2 linked regions of the Coturnix japonica genome follow. The protein of the gene in region 2 purifies or fractionates together with the protein of the main gene of each other region. This does not show direct contact. Links are inferred from orthologs where the notes say so. Each region holds a gene or a part of one and is shown on either strand. Other genes may lie near its edges. The genes, in order: GNG2 and GNB5.

The links.
Region 1: the proteins of GNB5 (region 2) and GNG2 purify together in Homo sapiens (affinity purification with western blotting; 4 studies listed by BioGRID and IntAct, with this or other methods). This does not show direct contact. The link is inferred for Coturnix japonica from reciprocal best matches to the Homo sapiens genes GNB5 and GNG2.

What each region holds. Positions count from the first base shown.
Region 1 is NC_029520.1:52,684,851-52,689,334, reverse strand, and holds the start of GNG2 (guanine nucleotide-binding protein G(I)/G(S)/G(O) subunit gamma-2), read right to left. Parts: upstream 2,913-4,484; 5' UTR 2,694-2,912; intron 1-2,693. UniProt on the Homo sapiens protein: Guanine nucleotide-binding proteins (G proteins) are involved as a modulator or transducer in various transmembrane signaling systems.
Region 2 is NC_029525.1:7,776,780-7,779,267, reverse strand, and holds part of GNB5 (guanine nucleotide-binding protein subunit beta-5), read right to left. Parts: intron 2,108-2,488; coding exon 2,011-2,107; intron 1,199-2,010; coding exon 1,032-1,198; intron 382-1,031; coding exon 370-381; 3' UTR 1-369. UniProt on the Homo sapiens protein: Enhances GTPase-activating protein (GAP) activity of regulator of G protein signaling (RGS) proteins, such as RGS7 and RGS9, hence involved in the termination of the signaling initiated by the G protein coupled receptors (GPCRs) by accelerating the GTP hydrolysis on the G-alpha subunits, thereby promoting their inactivation.

The sequences.
Region 1 (4,484 bases), on a different chromosome or scaffold from region 2:
TCTGAAGGCACAGGGAGCCGGGTTATAACCTCTCGTACAGACCCAGGAAGAGCAGCTCCCGGGGAGCATTGCAGAAGGCACAGAGCTAACTTTCCTTCCCATGCGAGGAGGGCACTAAGCCTGTTAAATCGAGACAGCAGCTCAGCTCAAGGAGCTGATCCTCTGAGCACAGTGTGCTGCCTCAAACCATGCACAGGCACCGCGGTGCTGCTCCTTCCCCAGCTGAAGCACAGCCAGACCGGCATCAGTGCCCCCACGCACACGGCTGGGGGTGGAGGGGGCCCCTCACGGTGCCCTTTAAACCCAGCGTGGCTGCCACTCCCTGCATCTCACCCAGCTGCTGCTGCCCAAGAGCTGTCAGCGCTGTAACCAACACGCGGCAAGGTGGGGAGGTGTAAGGTCTGGTGTAAGGTTTGGTGCGATGCCATTCCAGGGCTATTTTCTTTTTGTTATTTTTTTTTTCCCCACTCAGTATGTGGAGAAAACAATTTTGGCTGCACGAAATGGAGGAGATGCGTTATTTCAGACCTCATCCTTTGCACATGTAGCTCACACGGGGACACTCTGCATTGCACCCCATGGCCCAGGCTGCAGCATCCCGCTGCCTCCCCAGCCATCCCACCCGCTGCCGCCCAGAGGGATGAAACAGTCAGGAAAGAAGCTGAGAAGCAAGAAAATGACCCCCACAGCCCGGTTCCTTTGCTCTCCTCTCCCACTTGTGCGTGCCCTGAGCACACGCTCTGATCCCACTCCAGGCACAAGGAGACGTCCTGCTGAGCACCGACACAACTCATGCCAAAAATGATGCTTTTCCCACGGCCATTCCCTGATTCCTAACCCCAAAATGGAGATGGGAAGGCCCAGATATGACCCCTTGTGGGAACCACTGTGGGATTGGGCTCCATAGCCTCCCAGCAGAGCTGATGGGGCCAGGCAGCATTTGTAGGGCTGCGGGTTGGGTGCCGCCTCTCCAGTCCCAATTGCTATGGAAACTGCGTGCGCGGCGCTGCCTTCCCTCCTCCCATGACTCACGGGTTTTCAAAGGGAGAAGTGGTGCCTCGGCCGCTGCTGTTTTGAGGCCAAAGCAGCAAAATCCAGGCGGGTGCATCTGTGGGGCTGGATGGAAGGCAGCGCCGTGCTGTGCCAAGTTGGCAACGTCGCCACGCACTGAGCTCCAGCGTTGGGTGGTGGAGGTGTTGGCTGGGTTGGGGATGGGCAACAATCCTCAACAATTGGGTTTCTCCAGCATCTCTACCCGCATTGCTCTGGGATGCCATACCCTGACCCCAAAGAGCACAATGCCAGCCCCTGGGGCTGGGGATCCAGATGGAACTGAGATTGCCATGCTTGTGTCACAGGTGGCAGCTGGCAGCATGCTGCTGGTAAGCAAGCAAAGGGATAGAAATGGCAAGAAAAGCCCTAAAATGGGTGTGAAGGGAACAGCCTGAGCCCATAGGCCACGGTATGGGGTGGGAAAACAACGCCCAGAGCACCTCTGAGCATCCTCCCAGAGAAAGACTTCACCCCGGGGCTTTCCTGGCAATAATTAATTGAGTCATATTTCAATCCAGCCAGAGGCCATATGGCAGAAAAGAGGATTAGCATCGCAGGCTCCAGCTGCATGGAGGGAAATCCAGTTAGAAGGAAAAATCCCCCGTGCTTGGGCCCAGCCTGGTGCCAAGGGGACATGCCCCGGCCCTGGGCAGTGCAATGGGGATCTGGGGTCTGTCCAGTGGGAAACAAACAATAGGGCAAACCCACAAGCACTGCACACAAGGGTACAATGACAGGGGATAATGCTGCCCTACATTCCCACCCCATTACCATTGGGGCAGCACACCCTGAGTTTGTCAGGGACTCATTAGCAATAAGTGGGGAGCTAAAATTCAAGTTTTTCCTTCATTATAAATCCATTTTCCTGCACGAAGGCTGAAGTTTGGGGCTGGATTCCTCTCCCTCTGGAACGCGGAACCTCGGACCATTTTTATGATTCCATTCTATGATTCCCCAGTCCCTGGGCACAGCAGGGAGCTGCCTGGGCACACGGTGCCTTTGCCATGGTTACTTTTCCTTAGACCTCTCAGAGCTGTGCTGCTTCCTGCTGCATGGCCACCACGGGGAAAATCCGAACTCCCATTGAAATCCCAGCCATTGAGAGAACGGGGGTGGTGGGGTGGGGCAGCAGGTGGGGATGGGGCGCCCCAAGTACCCCCTCCCTAAGCCACGGTGGGGGCAGATCCATCCCAGCAAGAGAGATTTGGGGCAGGGAAAGCCCTTTGCAGGGGGTGGGAGAGGGAGAGAAAAAATAAAAAGGAGAACACTACGTCTCATTCATCCCGAGAAAAAGCCGTTCATGTGATGGCAAATCAGTTGATTAAGTGAGGATCAGCCCCCGTAGAGCTTTGCTGGGGGCTGAGCGCCGGGGCAGGCACCATCCCTGCAGCACCCATTGGTGTTGGGGCTATGGGCGGTGCAGGGTGTCGGGGTCCCCATGGGGTAAGCAGCAAAGGCAGTGACGGGGTGATGCAAGCCGGGGGCTGGGGTGACAGGATCGCCTTTGGAGGGGTAATAAGCAGGGAGCGCTTTGGGGCCCGAGGGATGCTGCTGCCATGGGATCGCCCCGATGCGCGCTGTTCGTGCGCGCCCGGCGCCCCCCAGCCCCGCTCCCATCGCCCCCCCGGCTCTCCCCGTACCTGCGGGCGGTGCTGCCCCGGCTCTCCCCGCGGGGCGGCGGCGGTCGGACGGACGGACGGAGGGATGGATGGAGGGATGGATGGAGAAGGGATGCGGGCTGGAGGCAGAGGGGCGGTCAGCAGCAGCCCGGAGCGGCGAGTCCCCACCCAGCTTTGTCTGCGCTCATCCCTCTGCCTACAGGAAGCGGCTCGGCCCCGACTTCCTCCTCCTCCTCCTCCTCCTCCCGCTGCTGCTGCTCTCCCTCCTGTCCCCTCCCCTTCTCCTCACCCCGAGCCCCCTCTCCTCCCCGATCCCCGTTTTCTGCAGCCCTGGGCCTGCCCTTCTCCAGCCTCCTGCCCCACCTCCCTCCCCCTGCCCCACACCAACCCCACTGTGCGCCCACCCCGCTCCCTGCAGCCCCATCACACAACCACATCCTTCCCCCAAACCACCCCTGCAACCCATCCCACCTTCCTGCATCCCCATAACACTCCCTGCATCCCCTCACACCCCCTTCGTCCCTGACACACCCCTGCACCTTATCACACACCCACACCTTATCACATCCCTTTCCCTGCCATCACCCCCTTTTGAAACCCCATCACACCACATTCTGCACCCCACCAACCTCCAGCCCTTCCCTCTATTGCCCCCACACCTCCCTGGATCCCCTCTTTCCCCCCTCCGAGGGCTCCTCAGCCCCCCCAAGCCCTTTCCAACCCCTTAAGTCCCACACCAGCCCCTACTTGTACCTCCAGCAATTCCTTATTTTACATACTTTTTTTTAGTATTTAAGCCCTGATTCCCAGATTTTAGGATTAGGATCTGTTTTAGGGTTTGGGGAGCTGGTCGGCTTCTTTAGAAGATCATTCATTCCCTCCATCCACACCCCAAAATGACCTCCAACACCCTGGATGTGGGTTCACCTCAGGTGCCTCGGGCTGAGTTTTGGGATGCACTTGATGAGCTCTCTTGTTAAACCCACAACCCCCGTTATTAACCCATAACCCCTGTTATTAAACCCATAACCCCCATTATTAATCCATAACCCTCTTTATCAAACCCATAACAGGGTAGTGGGTTTCACATAGTCTCCCCATGCACATTTCCTGGAAGGAGAGGCAATGAGCTGCGGGAAAACGGGCTTCTCCATTTCCACAGTGATGCCCCATGGCTGATTGCTGAGGTTGAATAACCACTGGTCAAGGCTGGGGCTGCCCCCAGCAGCACCCAATGGTGCCCCCCAGCAGGAGACCCCAATGAGAAGCACCCAAGCAGCAAAGCTAAACTAGCACTGCCGCGGCGTTTTTGCCTTTTTAAAGTGCGTTTCTTTTCTCTTGGCTTCCAAATGGTTCACATTCCAAGCGCTTCTAAGTTGGATGTTGGGTGGGAATCATTATTTTTTTTTAACTTGGAATCAGCTTTTCCCTATGGCTGATTGTGGTTGTAACCAGTTCCACGCCGACCCACTCGGCTGGGTTTGATGCACGCAGTTATTGCCATCCCTCCTGCCAGGGAGGTGGCATTTGCACGTCGTCAAGCTGCTGATCTCAAATCCTCAGCCAGCCGGGCTGCCAGAATGATGACAGGAGATGCCAAGTCTGGAATGGAGGCAACTGGAGACGGAATGTGAGCTGCTCTGTGACAGCAAGAACTTGTGGAAGTGTCAAACTGGCAGCTGGGACGTGAGAGCATCCCAAAGAGTGCGCTGGTGTGAGGCTGCATGGGGCGGAAATGGGAAGAGCCCTCTCCATAGGGTTGTGAAGGAGCGATAGGGAAAAGCTGTCAGATGTCATAGAATCACAGGATCA
Region 2 (2,488 bases):
CAGGAATCTCGATTTTTTTTTGCTCTCAAAAGGAACTCAAATCATGCAAATAAACACATAATGTGCACTGAAATACTCATTTCTGTGGTACAGACGACTTCAGAGAAAAGTCCATTTATAATTAACTAAACTAGTTCTATAATAAAATATGGTACTTTCAAAACAGAATCAGAACCATTAACTTTTACCACGAGTTCATGTTTGCTATGTGTTTGAGCAGGTTATGTTCTACCTAGTTGTGCTGATCTGTGGGTTCGGTGTCACTCCTTTGTAGAGTAGCGAATATCTCATTTGCAGGGAGCCTTCTTTATGCTGTTTTTGCAGTCCAGGTCATCGGTCTTCATTGGACTCTGCACACAGGATCTCATGTTAAGCCCAGATCTGCAGAAAGAGAGTTGAACAGTCATTTATGACCCTCACTGTTCTATCAGATACTGAATTAAAGATTGCCAAGGCAGTCAGGTTAGTGGCACAGGATACCAGCAGCCGTGATACCATTTAAGAAGCAACTTCAAAATTTCCTTGGCTTCAACAGCTCTGCAGGCCCTGTGAGGCAATGTTTCCATCTGAATTTTCAGCTCACACTTTACGCTGCAGGATTTTATAGCTTTGTTAGTTGTCACAGAACCACTTGAGTTGGAAGGGACCTTTAAAGGCCATCCAGTCCAACTCCCCTGCACTGAACAGGGACACCTACAGCTCCATCAGGTGCTCAGAGCTCCTCCAGACTGACCTTGGGTGTCACTCCAGGAGTGGGGCACCGCCACATCTCTGGGAAACCTGTGCCAGTGCCTCACTGCCCTTACTGTAAAAACGTCTTCCTTGTATCCAATCTACATCTTCTGTCTTTTAGTTTGAAACCATTTTCCCTTGTCCTATCACAACAGATACTGCTAAAGAGTCTGTCCCCTTCTTATAACCCCACCTTAGATAGTGAAAAGAACCTGGAGAGTCAATGTTCCTGTCCTAATTGCTGTCCGTGCCCCTTTCTATTAACACAAACCAAGCAGCAAGGTGCCCCCAGTGCTTACTCGCAGAGTGTGGTCCCAGGACCCCGAGCAGAACGCCGTCCCATCAGGAGAGACCCGCAGGGTGCTGACACGGTTCTCATGTCCAAACAGAATAGATACACGGGATCCTTTCAGCACATCCCAGACATTTATGGTGTAATCGTTATACCCTGCAAACAGCAGGCGGCCTACAAAGAGAATTACATTTCAAAAAATGAATTCTTAAGTGGGCAACACATCATTACTGCAGCAAGGGGAAGCAGGCAGCAGCCCAGCTTTCCCATGCTGACCCACACAAACTACCATGCTGTTATCCCCGCTAAATACTAAAATGATTAGAATATTAATTAGTTGAAGGCCAACAAACGCCAATATTTCTTTGCTCTGACTTTGCAGGAGTTGAATACAAACAGCTGAACAATCAGGAGAAAAATTAGTGATTCTTTGTCCCCAGTGGGACCAGCAGTGGTGCCCATGACCGGCACAGAGCCATCTCCATCTGTCAGTGTGCTGGGAGCAGGGCAGCTCACCCCATGCTCAGCCCTACAGGAGCCCCCTGGAGCAGGGCTGGGAGAAGGCAGAGAAGACTCAAGCTCACATCTCTGGATCTGCAGTGAAAAATGGCTCTGCCATCGTGCTCTTTTAACATACTTTGAGCTTCTATTAATCATTTATTATCCTTTAATAAACTATTTATGTAAGTGTGCGTTATAGTCAAGTTATATTTCATGTTTCCTTTGAAGCATTTTTAATAATCATTGTGAAATTCTAGCCCGGCTGTAGTCAATAGCAAAATATTTTCTGCTTTCGGCATGACCAGGAGAATACTTTTCATTGCTGCAAGGTCAGATGAGCGACATAAAGAGCAATTTTAATTTACAGAGGAAGGTTTTGGGATTTAATATTGGTTTTCCAATGCTTTGTCAAGTTAAACTGACAACATTTGACAGCCTGCCACCATACCAAACTAATACCACCACCTCCCAAGTTCAGTTCTCACCACTGAGAGAGAAATCCACACTGGATGCTCCAAAAATGATGCTCTCCTTGGAATAAATTGCTACTTCTCTGTCTGCGCGAAGGTCGTATAAACGGCACTAAGATCAAAACAGAAACAACGTATGTGTCACAGTAAAGACTGGAGTCAATGGCCACTACTTTTCATTGAAAGAATGTGATGGGGAAGGCCTGCAGCCTAGCAGGTATCACAGAAAACAGCTCCTTGGATTCCTTCCTTCTGTTCTTTCTGTCCACTACAACTGGGACTCCTCTGGAAGCTAACAAGGATGTGAACAAAACCAGGCAGCTTTGTATAAACTGAGTACAGAGCTTGCTTGTCCAAACTTCTCCTGTACATCTCCTTCCTGTCCTGATATAAATAAAGAGAGCAGTTTGGTATTGGTATTTGGACCATAGATACCTCCTGGAATTTCTCCCACTCCCAGCCTGCTCTCTTGCTTCCCCACTGTGGTTTCCTG